Linked DNA regions of Neurospora crassa OR74A. The protein of the gene in region 4 binds, or shares a complex with, the protein of the main gene of each other region. Links are inferred from orthologs where the notes say so. Each region holds a gene or a part of one and is shown on either strand. Other genes may lie near its edges. The genes, in order: NCU06491, hat-4, NCU00444 and arp-4.

Region 1 (3,830 bases), on a different chromosome or scaffold from region 4:
GTACAATAACGCACAACGTCCGCAAAATATCATGCCGCCGCCTGTACACCCTGTGATGCTCCCGGGCCGGCCGCCTTCTTCAAAGCCTCCAACCTCGCCAGCTCCTCCTGCTTCATCCTCTCCTGGATCCTGACTCTCTCCGGGACAATCTGTTCTCTTGGCCTGGTAATCTTCCAGCCTTCCAGGCGGTCTTTTCCAAGAGCCCGCAACGTCACCTGCTCGACGAGTGAATAGTTGCCGTCCTCCCTATCAAAGTTGAACGGCTGCTTCAGCGCTACTGGCGGGTTGGTAATGATGCGGACGTTCCTCTTCGCGTTGCTGGAGGCCGAGTGCAGCATCAGCGGATGAAGTAAGTACACGTCTCCGACCTTGCCTGTTGCCTCGACAAACTGGGTGCAACCCTTGGCCGTGTTGTTGAACCAGTTGAGATGCTGCTCTTGCTTGAACTCGGCATCGCTGCGGGGTGCCATACGTGGCGAGACACCCTCGGGATGCTCGTACAGGTGTTTGGCGAGGATAGGGATTGCCTCCGGACAGATCATGGTCCCGCCGCCCTCGGGCATGATATCGGTGAAGAGAGGAATGACGAGCAGGCCCTGCTCCGGGCTGTCAAGGTAGTGGACGAAGAAGTCACCATCGACGTGCCAATTGTCCAGCTTTTGCGGGGGGACTGGTTTCCCTTCTTTCTGTGGTGTGCCCAGGTTGACGATAAGGGAGTCCTTCCACTTCTTCGACCAGTTCGCGATCTTATCCTCGCCGCCGCAAAGCTCGCTGATGGCTGCCCAGGCACGAGGGGCAAAGTCTGCAGCGTCGAACTCCATATGTGAGGGCATGTTGACACGTTCTTTGTTCCAGGTGGACTTGTCGTTTGGATCCATTCCTAGTCTCGTCCAAACATTGGCGATGATTTCCTGTGCTCTCTGCTGCGTGAAGGCAGCCGGGATCCTGGCATGGTCAGTACCTCGAACGAGGTTGAACAGCTGGTATGGTGGCATGACACCTACTTGACCCAGCCATGAGTGAGGAAGTGTTCCTTCTCTTCAAGACTCAGAGCAGATGACGACGACATGTTCAGTGTGATGTTGCCTTTGGGACACATCCTGTAGAAAGTAGCGTAAAGAACAAGGCTATAGACTGGAACGGGGCCGACAAGCTATCTCTACCCTTATATACTCTTTTCAAGATCCCGCCAGAAACTAACCCAGGCTAATCAATCCGACTGTCACGACAACTCCGGACTCCGAATGGAATGCCGCCTCACACTGCGCCACGAGGCAGCTAGGTAATCCATCCTTGCTCCGTAGGCGCCCTAGGCTACGTGTAACCGGCGGGGTGGTTTTTGGTTTAACCAGAAATACCCTATTGGATATCGCCAGGTTTATTGGAGAGTACGGCATCACCAGTTTTCCATTTTCGTGATAGCGGCCTTTCTGAACCTGAACATCATGTCCCAGTGGTGTGGTTGACAACATCCCGTCGTCAGGGGCAGATCCAGCTTGTCATCGGATGATAGTAACGGAACTCTAAAAAGGTTCCCGGTTGCGGGGCGTTTTCAGCGGGACATCAAGGAAGGTGTGGGCGTGATGCGGGGGAGCTTGAGCCGAACAGCGGCGACATGACGGCAAGCTGCCCTATTGGCTGCTAACAGAGCGTTTGTGTTTCCACTGTCACGCTGCAGTCGATCGGACAAAGACATGGATCCCGTCCTTGTTCCCTTCATCACTTTTCCACTTTAATATTCCGGCCCACGATACTTGGAAGAGGTACCATTCTTGGAACGACGACACACACGGCAACGAGAATTTTACGCGAATAGCTTGAGGAAGACCAGACTGTTATATTCGCGAGATACCAAGATGGCGCCAACACTAGAGCTTCTTGCAGAAGACTACGCGTCAGAGGAAGACTCCGACTTCGCCCCAGAAACTGCCGAAGCCGCGGGAGAATCATCAATATCCGACGATGACGACGAAGAAGCCGGTGAAGATGCCGAGAAAGCGAAACCCGAGAAGAGGAAACGCGCTGCCATCGAGGAGGCGGAAGACGCTGGTTATGACAATTCTGGAGATGAAGCTATAATAAAGAAGGGGGAGAAACGTCAAAAGAAAACAAAGACAAAACTTGCTGCCGACGATGAGGAAACTGGCGAGGGCGGTCTCATCAAGACGCGCAGCCAACGCGCTGTTGAGTATGTTCTCACATCAACCCTCTTCTCTTTGGGTCCTGGGCATTAACGACAATGGCAGAAAGGAGAAACGTTCAACAGCCGCCGCCAGCGGACCTGTTACAATCGACGTCGATGCCCTTTGGGCGCAAATGATCAGCGAGCCGGTCATACCACGAACAAGTACAGCGAAACCAGACGAAAGCGCCGATCCAGCGAACTGTGACATCGCGAAATCGTCATCCCAGCAGCCAGAAACAGCCAAGGCGAAAGATCCCGATTCCGACCTCATAAAGATCAAGAGAACCTACAACTTCGCCGGCAAAGTCCACACTGAAGAAAAGCTCGTTGCCCGCGATTCTGCCGAAGCAAAACTCTATCTCGCCTCTCTCGGAGAGAACGCTCCAGCGGACGGCGAAACAGCCGCCGAGGACGAGTCCTCCTCTGCCAAGCGCATGCCCCGAAAAGCTTTCCGGTCCGTCTTCGAGCCCATCACCGACGCCAACTCGGCGCATCGTTCCGACCTCAACCTGAGCATGGCCTCCCGCCTGCAGGCTCGCGAAGCCACGGGCAACAAGGCCAAGAAGCTCAACACGGTCGAGAAGAGCAAGATGGACTGGGCGGTGGCGGTCGACAAGATGGGCCTCAAAGACGAGCTCGAGCTGGCCGGCAAGTCCAAGGACTCGTTTGCGGCGAGGCAGGATTTCTTGGCCAGGAGCGAGATGCGCAGGGAGGAGGAGGCGAGGAGGGCGAGGATGGCGCAGGCGGGGAAGACGTGAGCGTGTCACGATCTCCAGTCAATCCATTGGTCGCTTGCCTATTATTGTTGTATGGATGGCGTCTCCCTTACCACTACAAGTTTGGAAGGACAGCACTATGCAACACCATTTCATTTCTTACGTTCGCCAAATAGAGATACCCCAGTTTTCAATATCGGAACTTTCCAACGCGTTGAAGACACCAAGCAAAACACGACTTGCATGAACTCAGGGTCACAGTCACATATCAATTCCTTGCAATTCCTGGTCACATTGCAAAGGAACATGCATTTCTCATCCAGAAATCATTTGGCAAGTTGTACCCATGCACCACGCTGTCTGACTCATGATCCCAACTTCTCAATGCAGTTATCATCAACCAATCATCAACTGGCGTGGTGGCGGAGTGGTCTAACGCGCAAGACTAGAAATCTTGTTCCTTCGGGAGCGTCTGTTCGAATCAGGCCCACGTCGAAGTGATTTTTTTTTCCAATTTCTTTTTTTTTTTTTGGACGATTTTATTGTTGAATGGCTCCATAACACCAGTCTGGGGTACCTAGCCACTGGCAGTGGATGCCGACGACAACGCTTTTTGGTCCTTTGTTCACAATGATTTCCCAATGTATCTTGGGAGCTTATTCGATTATTTGGGGGGTTGGTTTCCGCTGATTCAGTACTAGATCAACGACCTCTCCTCCAAGTTGAGAATGTCTAGAAACTCAACAACGGAAGATTATCTACGTCTGACTTCCTGTCTTCAACAGGTAGTTCAACCATCCAAGGTTGTTGGGTACCTCTACCTATGTACACACGCCTTAAAAGCCCTTTTGAGATCTGAAAATAACCTTGAAGGTAGACTTGCTTGAGAGGTTCTACCTTACCCCCCTTCTTACCGACCAGTAGTCGAA
Region 2 (4,141 bases), on a different chromosome or scaffold from region 4:
GATCGTGCGGACGCCATGTGGCGCTTGGAAATGCCTGATACATGCGTGCGCCAGTCGGTCACGAAAGCAGTGGGGCGAACGTACGAGTCGTAAATTTGGTGTCCGTGGAAGTCGACGATGGAGCATCGAGCGAGGACACTGGTGGCGCCCGAGGGACCGGTGCCGACCATTTCGCAGTCGATGGAGAGGTATTTGCCGAGCGTGTTGGACTTGGTTGCTTGCAGGATTAGTGCGAGGTCGGTGGTGGTGGAAGTGTCGAGTGTGAGACCGTTGGAGAGGGTGAGGGATGAGGGAAGGTCGGTTGGTAAGGGGAGGCCATTTTTGTTGCTTTTAGGGGAAGAAGAAGAATGGCCGGGGAGGGTGAGGCCTGCGTTGGGGATGGCGGGGGGGAGGGTGGAGAGGAGAGGGATGTGTGAAGAAGAAGAGGAAGAAGAGGTGCCGCGGAGGCCAAGGTTGTACGCTTCGGCGAGGGATTCAGAGGAGATGCCTTGTTCGTCGGCCCAGAGGTGGAGGGAGGGGAGGGTGCTGTTTGGGGAGGAGGAGGTGGTGGGCTTGGATTGGACGTTGCCGCCCATTTTTTCTTCTGTTGGTTTTTGGCTGCTGGGTTGAGACTGGGTTTGGGACTTTTGTCTTTTTGGCTTCTTGGAAGGGTTGGAGGCTTGTTGCTGTTGTTGACTCTCCTCGGCCTTGCGCTTGAGGGTTTCGGAGGAAATGGACTTTTTGGAAATGGCTTGCTTGAAAGCGGCTTCTTGGCTGATGGGAGCTGATTTGGTTGGTTGAGGGGCCTTGAGCTTTTCTTGCAACTTCTTCCAGTTGGAGGAGAGTTCCGGGGCCATGGTTGGTGACAGGAGGGTCTCCTGCCTTGGTGATTTTGATGGTGGTGGTGGTGATGGAGTGTTGAGTCAAGACAGACAAGTGAGGGTGTCACTGCCGATGAGGGATCACTTGTGGTATGTCCAATCACAAATTGGCGGCCGAGGTTATGTGGAGTCCAATTGGTGCTGAATTCTTATTTGGAATGAGAGAAAGTAAACAAAAGGTTGAGACAAACGGAAGATTTCCAGAAGGTGATAACTTTTTTGTATGAACGTGAAAGTGGATGTTGAATATGGGCCCCACTTTGGTGTTCACTTAAAAATTCAACTGGGGAAATCGGTTCCTGGACGATTGACAGGGTAGGCAAGCCATGCAGGGATCTGCCGCTGTGTCCCATTGCATCCCCGCTGAAATGACGGCCCAAACACGTGGGCTCGCCACTGAAGGACCCCTCCAAAACGTTCGGGAAGCGTCCACTGAAAGAGTCGCTGAACACTACAAAACACTTCAAGACTGACGTCGCGCGTCGCCCGTCAGATTGATCGCATTCAATCGCCCATCGTCCACAACCATCAAATCTTGTCGCAAACCATCGCAAGTTATCGACCGAATCATATACAGTTGGATCACACATAGCCGCCATCATGAGTCCCCCAGGTGGCGATGCCACTGTCGGCTCCGACGAGAAGCGACAGAAGGGCAAGGCGACGCCCGACACCATCAAGTATGTTTCCGTCCCATCATTGTCCACGGCACCCCCCATCGTCGTTGAAAAACCAGATACTAACACCACCAAACAGAATGGGATGTATTGCCATGGTGATGAAAGAAGGCCAATTACGACGAGCAGAGATCCTCAGTATCAAAGACACCAAGTCCGGCCGGCAATTCTACTGCAACTTTGACAACTTCAACAAGCGTCTCGACGAATGGGTGCCGGCCGCCAGAATCGATTTCGAGCAGGACGTCGAGTGGCCCAACCCGGACAAGGACAAGCAGAAGGACGCCAAGACCAAGAAAAACAACTCGACGGTATCCAAGAAGCAACCGTCCAAGAAGAACAACCAGAAAAAGGCCAGCAAGAGGGAGCAGTCAGTCGCATCGGACGGGCAGACACCACACCCATGGACCGAGTTTGTCGAAAGCCAGCCAGGGAAGAATAACAGGCAACGGGGGAAGACGGAAGATGGAACCGACGTCAACGCCAGTTTGGAGGTTGGTGGGGACAAGGGAGTCAAGAGGAAAGCCGACGAGATCGATATGGATGAGGACGAAATACCAGCCGCTAAGAAACAACGCCAGCCGTCTTTTTCCAGGGAACAAGAGATTGAAAAGTTGCGAACATCCGGCTCCATGACACAGAACCCTACCGAGATCTCGCGCATTCGGAATATCTCCAAGGTGGAATTCGGCCGCTACGTCCTCTTCCCGTGGTATTTCTCGCCCTACCCGCAGATCTTTGACCAAGAAGACTGCATCTACATCTGCGAGTTCTGTCTCTCGTACTACGGCGAGTTGAAATCCTTTGTGCGTCACCGACAAAAGTGCACTCTACACCACCCGCCCGGAAACGAAATCTACCGGGACGACTACGTCTCCTTTTTCGAAATCGACGGGCGACGTCAGCGCACCTGGTGTCGCAACCTCTGCTTGCTGTCCAAGATGTTTCTCGACCACAAAACCCTTTACTACGATGTCGACCCGTTTTTGTTCTACGTCATGACCACCCGCGACGACCGGGGGTGCCACATCATCGGGTACTTCTCCAAAGAAAAAGAGTCTACGGACGGCTACAACGTCGCCTGTATCTTGACCCTTCCGCAGTACCAACGCAAGGGATACGGTCGCCTGCTCATCCAATTCTCGTACGAACTGTCCAAAATCGAAGGCAAGCTCGGCTCGCCCGAGAAGCCCCTGTCCGATCTGGGTCTGCTGTCATATAGACAGTATTGGTCCGAGAACATCATCGATATCTTGCTCGGGTACAACGAGCGAAAGGAAGCTTGCACGATTGAGAACATTGCTGTTGCCCTGGCCATGACGACACAGGATGTGGAACATACGTTGCAGGCGCTCAAGATGCAGGTGTACCACAAGGGCGAGCACAAGATTGTGGTACCGGAGAAGCTGATCAAGCAGAGGGAGAAGAGCAAAGCGAAGCAAAAGAGGCTGATTGATCCCGAGAGGATCCAGTGGAAGCCACCGGTGTTCACGGCGCTTAATCGGACATGGGGGTGGTAGTTGCTCTCGCTCAGCAAATATTGAATGATACACCAAGACGACACACTCGTGACACCACCACACGGATTCATGACCCAATTAAAAGAAAACGAAACCATCAGCATTACGCCAACAAAAGAAGATCAATTCCTGAATCGATCAGATACTGGAAACCTTGCAGTAGTGTATGCAAACAGAATGGTCATTAACATGGCCGCAAAGTGCACTTGACCTTTGTTGGATTTTTACAATGGTTTCGTTGATTTATTGGGTCATGGATACAATAGGTGGTATGTCGTCTTGGTGGATCATTCAATATTTGGGGAGCGAGCGCTCTTACTGCTGGGATGTCTGTGTTATTCTCGTTGTAATAGTCATGAGAACAAGATTGCATGGGTAGCAAGCGGGTTGGTTAGTATGATATGGCGTTGGTTTTTGTTTTGGACGGGCACTTGGGGAAATGGCTTACAGGAGGGGGGGAAAAAGGAACACCATATGTATCACTATTACGGCCAAAAGCACCAGAATGGTTTGTCATTTCTTTACGAGTGATTAGGAATATAATTACCAGGATAGAGAAGCAGAGCCTAGTCATAATCTCTACTCATGATCAGCGAAAAAGCCTGTTTGCTACAGCACAAAATCTTGACGAAAGTTTAGCTCAAGATTCCCGACTTTACTATTGAGAGCATGGCTGCTTTGGACGTCATCAAACGTGGGTGTATTCCCCGATCTTACAGACCGCTTTCGCAGATTTGAAGCTTGTGACTGGTTATACCGGCTAGTCGTCGGAGATCTCCCGGGCCGCATTCGGTAGTGAGACCTCCAGACGTCACCTCATCCATTGCTTGTGTTCCGTCAGCCCCGTCCAGCCCCACACCTCCGGCCGGCCGGCCCCGCAACCTAGATTCCCCGCAATACGACATCATTCACGACGGCGATCACGACGGACAAATGGGTTAGGCTGAGATAAACTGAATGGTTTCACCACGGCATTTGAGATTCACTCGCTGCCAGGTTAATAACAAAGCTATGGTCCCAAAACCACCACCAACCTTATCTAGGTTCCACTCATCTCACCAACAACTCAACATTCCAACGTCTT
Region 3 (4,064 bases), on a different chromosome or scaffold from region 4:
CGCAGTAGCTCCGGATATAAGCCAAGAGCTCATGCCTGAAAAAGATGGCTATCTGGCAGGGTGCTGGCAGATCTATAGCGCTCTAGTCCAGGCACAGGAGACACGGAGACTAAGGCGAACGGACAGTTACTGCTGCTCCATACCCTGAACTGTGTAAACTAAACCATACAGCATGTTCTCTGCTTCTAATACCGCCATACGACGAGCAACGTAGAGAGACCGTGATCGAGAACTAGGTACCGCCTACAACATAACCGCTTCTCTTTCCCTTCCGAATTCCATGGGCGTGGGATCTATTACATACCTCCTTTCTACCTCTTACCCATCCTTTCCCGAACCTTTCTTTCCAATAAACAGTCTCAAATTTCCCTATGACGATCCTACCTAGAGGGGCAAACCTTGCACATGATAAGGTTCAAGGTCCGCCCAAAGCACAAACTGATTAGCGATGCCACTCCCTTCCAGTGAAGAGCAGTCCTCACGAGCAGACACCACCAATCAAGGCAACGATCCCACCGGCAGAAAGGAAACGGTTCAACGGAACACACCCTAGACCATCGAATATCACGCAAAGAAAGAAATCTGGAAGATCAAATCAAGCACAAATTTTGTCAAGAGAAGCTCTTGAATCTTTCTCAATTTTTGCTTTTTGCGTATCCCACCATAACTCCATAAACGCCACGGTAATGCAGGAGCCGAAGAAGCCTAAGGCTACAATGGCATGATGGTGAAGGTGGTTGATGTTGATGTGGATGGAAGTGTCAAGGGATCAATAATAGTGAATAAAGAGGGTGGTGGTGTACTGGGTATGGTATGGTGCGCACTGCGATCTAGTAAGGAAGAATGTTCCCGTCCCTGATGACTTCGTAAATCGATGGCCATCGACTACTGTAGGTTACTTGGACCAAGGAAGTCGTACTATGAGACTACGTTGGCTTTGACCTGTGGTAATATTAGCGATTTAGCTACAGAAGGATCCGATTGAGGGGGCAAAAGAATGGGAAGAACAACTTACCAAGAACTCCCAGAGCATCTTCATGAGGTTGTCAGGAAGAGTGTAGAGATCCACCGAGAACTCGCCCGCTATAGACATGTCCAGTCAGCCATCAGCTCGTGTTGCCTCCAGGGGCCACACTCCCTAGCGGGCAAACTTACCATCGAGGTTGTTCTGGATGTACGTATTGTCATCCTTGTGATCGTGGATCATCTGAATGACCTGCAGGAGGTCATCCTCGCCCAGCTTCGTCAAGCCATCCGCCATACGCTCGATGTCGTAGGGCCGCTTCTTCTTGGAACCGCCGTCCACCGCCTTCTTCTGCTTGCGCTCCTCGTCCGAGGGCAAGGGACCCGTCTCTCTCAGGAGCTGCTGGAGCGCCTGAGATGGGTTACGGAAGGTGACGGTATGGATGTTTTCGTACTCTGATTGCTGGAAGTTCAGGTCGTGCGCGATCGAGATCTTGCCGCCTTTCTCGGTGGTGTACATATCGATGATCATCTCAAATTCACCCCAGCCCTCGTTGGTGCATTTGAAGGGAGGATCGTTGAAAGCTGAATTTGCGACGCGTTAGCCAACCTCTGGCTCTCGAGACACAACAGAGATGGGGAGAGGTGACCGGCGGCCGCTCCGGTGTCTACTTACTCTGGATAGGGTTCGCGAACGAAGGGTGAAGGTTGTAGGTCACCTTCGTGAAGCACCTGGCGGGCCTCTCCTTGCCATCTTGGTCGAGAATATAGAGCTCGACCGTCCACTCCTTCATGGGGTAGCCCTCCTGTGCCGCCGGCTTGTTGATATTGTGTTGTTCTGTGACAACCTTGATCTTGCGCTGTAGACAAATAAACCCACGTTAGCCGTCGAATCCATTTCCCGAACAACAGCTATCCCGGAACGTTCTCCTCCTAGGGCCTTTCCTTTCCCTGCCTCTGCACCTGTTCTGTATGCCGCTACAGTGGTCACCCTGTTTGCGCAAGCTACCAACCACACTGGACTGGGAATCCGGAAACTAACCTCGACGATCATCTTGTTTGCGCCTGGAACCCGCTTCGGATTCCTTCTAGTAGCTTTGGTTCGAGTATTCTTACTAGCACTACTGGGAACGTCCGACCGATCCTCAAGGCCCTCTGCTTCCCAGAAATTGGATGGATTCCCGCGGTTAGCTTTGTGTACTTCTCTTCACTTGCTCGTGTCCTAGTACTCGAACAGCACTCTTTTGACAATCGGCGTTCGGTCGGTGTCTCGAGTACAGGACAGTAGTAAGACAGTGGCGTTCGGGCTCTTGAGGAAGAGCAAGGATTCGAGGATGTACGACGTTGTTGTATCCGTTGGGCTGTCTGGCAATGGGCTCTATAGTGTTTGGTGTGTTGTATGTGTTGGTGTGTCGCAGATTCCGTCGCGCTGCTAGAGTTGGGCTTTGTAGCGGTAGAGAATAAGGTCGTCCGTTACGGAGGGGTAAAGGTACCGCGGCGGGCCGTGGCGTGCGGTTGGGAACCAGGGATAATGATGGGGATAACGTAGCTCTAAGGTGTATAGCGTACAAATTGGGATAGGCAAAAGTTGGATGGGAACGCGATCGTGATCGTGAAGAGGGGCTAAGGTTAAGAGCGTGTCTCCTCTCTGATGGCCTTGGGTTGAAAAATGCTCAAGGGAGTGTTCAAGCAAGGCAATGTGGGAAGGTTTTTACTGAGTTATGGTGCTGATGCGACTTGGATGGTTGGGAATTTGGGTCACTGTGCAATATATGTACACTCCGATGAAGTTGGTTCAAGCGGGACATACCTTCGTCATTCGCGAACGGAGGCGTCGCGGCGCCGCCATAGTCAAAACCGTAACCATGGCTGAAGTCGACCATTGTCCCGTCGCTAGCACTCAGTGAGGTACCGCTGTGCGTGCTGTGGCTGGTGCGCTGTGATGCAGTGAGCGTCAGCTCGCTTTGCCGGCATTCCTCTACCCCTCACCGTGGATGTAAGCAAGGTGAGCTCACCTAGGTGAACGAAGATATCACCACTCTAATCGAAATATCGCGATGATCGAGAAAGCAGAAGTCTTGGAAAGAAGTTGTCAAAGACGACGGTGATGCTGAAGTAGACCCTGAAATCTTGAAGTAAATTGCTCCAAGATGTGATTTTGCGTCGTCGGGAGAAGAGTAGTGAGAGACCGCTGGCGAAGAAGAGGATCGTCGTCAGCTCGCCGTAAGGTAGTCAAGAAGAGAAGAAACCTCCAAAACCGCAAAACAACCAGATTTTTTATACGGTCGTCGCCAGACCGCGTCACGGACGACTTGGCAAACGGAATTCAGTATTTGTGTTTCTTTCAAGACAGGCTCAGGTTTCCGTCAGCTAGCCAGTCCATCAGATTCGTCTCATGTTTTGGTGGACCATCGTGCTAAGCCGTCAGCCAGGTATGACGAGGCGAGGTTGTGTGTACAAGAACTTGATCAAAAACCCCCAAAGGCAATGCATCGGTGTGAAGGGTAGTGAGTTGTTCTATCTAAAACTGTTGGTTAAGCTAAAGGTTATTTAGATCCCTTAAGAGTAATCCCCATCCTCATCCTCCTTGCCAGCCATAGTTGCAAAAGGGCCGTCGCAGTATGTTACCAGTATATTGAAATCTCGTCAAACGCACACCTGAATAGTGCTTTCATGTCGGATACTTCAACCTTTTGTTCTCGCACACGCTGCCCATGTACCAGCTCTCTAGCCTAGGAATCATCATCGTCATAACTTCTGTAGCGGTCCTTTCATTCATTCCATCGCCCAGCCCATGGAGGTAGTAATGTCATCGTCCCCTCTAACACCTAGCAAAACGGAAAATAGAACGGGGTGGTTGAAAAACTTTCCCTAAAGCAACTTCAAATTCATGCAAAACTAGACCACACATCTACTCGGCCTTCTCGTCCTCGGAATCCTCCTCAGCCTCCTTCTTCTCGGCGGCCTCCTCGGCAGCCTTGAAGAGAGCCTCGTTGTCCTTCTGGGCCTTGATAAAGGCATCCTTGAAAGCGTTGGCGTTGTCGGAGTTGGCAAAGCGGATCGCGAGGGTGACGGCCTCGGGCTCACCCTCGGAAACATCG
Region 4 (4,124 bases):
CTTGCAGATCTCCGTTCAGTTCTCTCCAGTATCTTCGCCGCATACGCATACGAAGAATCCATCCTTAGCCTCTCAAACCGGCTTTTGGAACGCAGTCTTTTTGTGAGTGTAAGCCAAGCCGTCCAACTCCGCCAGCGAGGTTGGCGTCCTAAAGGCTCCACCTGCGAGGCCTGCGGCCGGCGAGTTTGGGGTCCTGGTGTGGCGGGTAATGTCTACGAAGCGTGGGAAGATCGCCAGGCTGCTGAGGAGAGTCAACGCCAGGCGAGGAAGCAACTCACCATGAGCAAAAACAAGGCGGCGAGTGCTACTACTGAACGGGGGAAGGGCAAGGATCATGCGTGGCCGGCAACGGACGGGCCCCAGGGTGGGGAGAAGTATAATGGAAATGCAAATGGAGATGGAAAGGGGAAGGGCAAGGGAAAGGCTGTGAGCCCGCAATTGAAGCAGCAAGGGGAGTCAATGAACGACCCGAACCAGCAAGCAAACACTTCTGGACATGAAGGCGTGCAAGGGCCAATAGTGGCAAACCGGGAACAGAAGCTTAGCCCTCTGGTTGTGCTGGCCTGCAGACACATCTACCATCAAGCATGCCTGGACGCTCTTGAGATGAAACATGGGGGCGCGGTTTCCAAAGGAGCTAGTTTTGGAACGAAGAGAGAGTATAGCTGCCCCATTGACAGGTAGGACTGATGAGAGGATTATGGATTGTCTAGAAGAAATTACACTTTGTACGTAGAAGCTTTACGGTGAATGAACTACTTGGAGACAGTTGAAGCTCTGGGATCTAGCCGTGATTAAAGTCAAAACTGGCAATACAGGCAATGGTTGGCGTGTATCTTTCATAAGCTGAAAGCATTGAAAATCCATTTCTCCGGAACGCCTCCGCGCCATATCGTGCGACCATAACATACACCTGCCTGATAATTAGCGACGTAGAAAATATCATGCCCATCTTATATGACCACCACACTCCACCCCACACAAACTCCATGAATGTGTGAGCACTTTAGGCATCAACCATTGTGGCCTGACTTGGAATCCGATGTTTTGTAGCCTCCCGCCATTTCCATAGCGCGGCGTGGGAGGGTTTTCCACTTCATGCCTCGACAACTTTCTTTTTCTGCAATTGACAAAGTGAAATCCTACTTGCAGCGCTTCTCGACAATGCCCGCGCCGTTCTCATCATATTCCTTTCGCGAAATCCACATTTGGTGGAAGGTTCCGAGACTGGCGAGAATGCTTCCTCCGATCCAAGCACCGAAGCGTCTCTCGGTCGTCAAACCCGCCGCATGGATCTTGATCTTCACACCGGGGTACATTTGCGCGAGCTCGTGGTTGAGACGGTCGTTGAAACCGTTCAACAAGCTTGTACTACCCGTGACAACAACGTTGCCGAGGATGTTGGGGCGGAGATCAACATCAACACCCTCGAGGGCCGCCTTGATGAGAGCCGGGATCGTCTGAGCCTTAGTAACACGTCCTTCCTCGTCAGTGCTGTTATAGGCAGCCGTCTCGTCCCACATGCCCTCCGACACCTTGAAGCGCTGCTCACGCCACATCTGATTGCTGCCGTCGGGCATCTCGAAGACCCGGCCGGGTTGTGTACGGACAGCATCTTCGTTTCCGGGGGTCGTGAACCGCTGGGGACCACGCCACACCTCGACAACAGACTCCTTGAACTCGGTGAGAACACGCTCTTCCTCGTAAGCGCGGAAGGACGGGTGGATGTCGAAGTTAAACTTTCGCAGGTTGGCTTCGGCAGGCGCACCGGCCTCCACGGGCTTCTTACTCTCGACCATGAACCGCGGCACAACGTCGACCTTGGGCTCACTACCGTCCCACATCTTGCAGATCTGGCTGCTCAGCCAAACACCGCCCACCGGAGACCTTTGAATCGATCGCTTGAGGACCATGCCGTCGTGGATGGCCGTGACACTCGTGTTGGCACCGCCCACGTCTATTACCAGAGCCGTGGCCTTTCCGGCCGCAAATGCTGCGAGCACAGGTGTCTTGCTAAGCCAGAATGCGGGCACGCCCCAAGTCTCCATGCTGATTTCGATGGCCTTCTCGCGCGCCTTGGGCGAGTTCCACGGCGCTTCGGTCATAAGAAGAGGGTTCTCGGCCAGTGGCTTCTCCAGCGCGTCCGTAGCATCCTCGTTGTTGTTTCCATCGTCTTCCATGGGCACATCGCCATCGTCACTAATGTTGATACCCTTTTTGCTGGGAGGTGTTGATCGCTCGGGCTGCAAACGCTTGACGAGAACATGTTCCCACATCCTGGTGGCAGCATCCCAATCTTCGACAACGCTGTCGCGGTTCATGTAGTTGCGCACTTCGAAGCCCGGTTTTGGCACGATATACTCGTCGCCGAATACGTCACGCCCATTGATGTGGCCGTAAAAAGAAGGGAGAACTTGCTTGGGCATTTCCTCGCCAGCATAGCCGGCGCGAGTGTTGCAGTAGCCCGGATCGAGAACAAGCGCGGATACCTCATCTAAGGAAATAATCAGCCGTCAATTGCAAGCCTTGAAGCTTGGGCAATGTCGCTGGTCAGAGGCGTTTGGACTAGGCTTACCTCCGCCATAGATGTCAGTCGGCTGGACCGACGACGAGAGAGGTTGTTGGTGGGACATGTTAGGCACCGACGCTGTATAATGGAAAATCGCTGAGGTGTATTATCGGAGGGCAAGAAGTGGTGTGAGCGGGGATCTCCAAACAGCGCTGCGCGTCTAATAGCTCGGTCCCGTCGCGTTCCGTTGAAGTTCGATGAACTGGAAATCAAATGGAATTTGACAACGGAGCTTCAAAGACGAGGGGCGCGCGCGCGTGAATACCAGTAAAAGGCCGGACAGGCTCTCCTCCAGCTACATAAAAGTGGGGCGCGGTACGTACCTCTACGGTAATAGGGCATCAGGGACAGAAAATGGAAATAGCAATCCAACGAACCTGTCAAGAGCTCTGTTAACTTGTTGATAGGTCTTTTAAGCTTGAAGAGAAGTAAGACGCACATGAGCAGTTAGCTTTGGTTAAACTCCTCAAAGATTGTCGCTGGCCTGTCGTTGCTGATCCAGAGCCCACGAACTCGCTAGAAGTCCTAGAAGTCAAAGTTACGACATCCATGGGAAGTAGAACTCTCAGCTGTATACGATACCGACAACGGATTCACCCAGAGCATTATGCCACCCCCAAAAAGAACAAATGGGTATCATATTTCACAATGGACAAAACAACAATACAGCAGAGATCAGGTGTCTATCCTGTCTCAGGACCTTCATAACCTGTGTTAACTCCATCGACCAACTCTCGAGCCATCCAGTCCATTCCCAGGACTATGCAACATCCCCTTTCCTTCATAGTCCTCCTCATCCTCCTCACTCTCCACCCCTTTCTCCCTCCCCTCTCCATACAAAACCTCACAAACTCCCGCCAGTGGCACATCCATCACCGCATCCGTCCCTTCATTCCAGACCTCCCTCCAATTCAATCCTCCCCCAGGTAAGAGCACCTCCCTATCCGTCGACCCATGCCTCCCATGTCCATAGCCATGCCCATACTGTCTCTTCTCCTCCTTGATGCCACATTTCTTATCATGCCTAATGATTTGGCCCTTCCCATCCACCACCGCCACCTGCGCCGCCTCATCCACAATCGTCTCAATCGATCCCAACGGCAGTGTGAGGTACTCGGTATTGTAAGCCGCCAGCGCCACGTAGATGTACACCAGCGTCATTGTCAGGAAACTCGGAATGGCCAGCGACCACCACCGGTTGGGGTAGTAGTAGATGCCCAACGCATGCAGGAACGGTGAAGGCAGGTAGGCCCACAGTAGGTAGATCAAAAACGACAGGCTGCTGAAGAGGTAGAGGACGAAGCCGTAGTACTCGTACGTGGGTACGCGGGGGCTGGCGCGCGGGAGGGGCTCGTTGCTGCCCTCTGGACCCCCACCGCCGCCGTTGGCTACTGTCTCGTCGTCGGAGGCGTCCGGGGTAGTGGGACGCGAGGGGCGCAGCAGGGAGGTTAAAGAGGGGGAGGGTGGGAGAGGGGTCGGTGGGCGACCGTAGAAGGGAGGGGCGAAGGTATGTTGCGAGACGGGCGGTGGGGGCGCGAGGTGCTCGTCGTCGCCG

The links.
Region 1: arp-4 (region 4) and NCU06491 share a complex: the UniProt entries of both Saccharomyces cerevisiae proteins name them as parts of the SWR1 chromatin remodeling complex. The link is inferred for Neurospora crassa OR74A from reciprocal best matches to the Saccharomyces cerevisiae genes ARP4 and SWC5.
Region 2: arp-4 (region 4) and hat-4 share a complex: the UniProt entries of both Saccharomyces cerevisiae proteins name them as parts of the nuA4 histone acetyltransferase complex. The link is inferred for Neurospora crassa OR74A from reciprocal best matches to the Saccharomyces cerevisiae genes ARP4 and ESA1.
Region 3: arp-4 (region 4) and NCU00444 share a complex: the UniProt entries of both Saccharomyces cerevisiae proteins name them as parts of the chromatin-remodeling INO80 complex. The link is inferred for Neurospora crassa OR74A from reciprocal best matches to the Saccharomyces cerevisiae genes ARP4 and TAF14.

Annotation. Positions count from the first base shown.
Region 1 is NC_026503.1:1,608,132-1,611,961, forward strand, and holds NCU06491 (SWR1-complex protein 5), read left to right. Parts: upstream 1-1,436; 5' UTR 1,437-1,856; coding exon 1,857-2,188; intron 2,189-2,246; coding exon 2,247-2,943; 3' UTR 2,944-3,304; downstream 3,305-3,830. Other genes in the region: NCU06490 (hypothetical protein), read right to left, coding at 30-945, 1,005-1,099. UniProt on the Saccharomyces cerevisiae protein: Component of the SWR1 complex which mediates the ATP-dependent exchange of histone H2A for the H2A variant HZT1 leading to transcriptional regulation of selected genes by chromatin remodeling. Involved in chromosome stability.
Region 2 is NC_026504.1:5,717,175-5,721,315, reverse strand, and holds hat-4 (histone acetyltransferase esa-1), read left to right. Parts: upstream 1-1,317; 5' UTR 1,318-1,460; coding exon 1,461-1,540; intron 1,541-1,616; coding exon 1,617-3,057; 3' UTR 3,058-3,670; downstream 3,671-4,141. Other genes in the region: NCU05217 (RNA exonuclease 4), read right to left, coding at 1-836; NCU11146 (aminotransferase), read left to right, coding at 4,015-4,141. UniProt on the Saccharomyces cerevisiae protein: Catalytic component of the NuA4 histone acetyltransferase (HAT), a multiprotein complex involved in epigenetic transcriptional activation of selected genes principally by acetylation of nucleosomal histones H4, H3, H2B, H2A and H2A variant H2A.Z.
Region 3 is NC_026503.1:3,880,374-3,884,437, reverse strand, and holds the start of NCU00444 (transcription initiation factor TFIID subunit 14), read right to left. Parts: upstream 2,849-4,064; 5' UTR 2,018-2,848; coding exon 2,006-2,017; intron 1,824-2,005; coding exon 1,640-1,823; intron 1,549-1,639; coding exon 1,156-1,548; intron 1,084-1,155; coding exon 1,016-1,083; intron 943-1,015; coding exon 919-942; 3' UTR 1-918. Other genes in the region: NCU00443 (ran-specific GTPase-activating protein 1), read right to left, coding at 3,875-4,064. UniProt on the Saccharomyces cerevisiae protein: Functions as a component of the DNA-binding general transcription factor complex TFIID, the RNA polymerase II associated general transcription factor complex TFIIF, and the chromatin-remodeling complex SWI/SNF.
Region 4 is NC_026501.1:2,713,530-2,717,653, forward strand, and holds the start of arp-4 (actin), read right to left. Parts: upstream 2,803-4,124; 5' UTR 2,634-2,802; coding exon 2,576-2,633; intron 2,495-2,575; coding exon 1,143-2,494; 3' UTR 685-1,142; coding exon of another isoform or gene 1-684. Other genes in the region: NCU02554 (golgi complex component), read left to right, coding at 1-684; NCU16367 (hypothetical protein), read right to left, coding at 3,284-4,124. UniProt on the Saccharomyces cerevisiae protein: Chromatin interaction component of the NuA4 histone acetyltransferase complex which is involved in transcriptional activation of selected genes principally by acetylation of nucleosomal histone H4 and H2A. The NuA4 complex is also involved in DNA repair.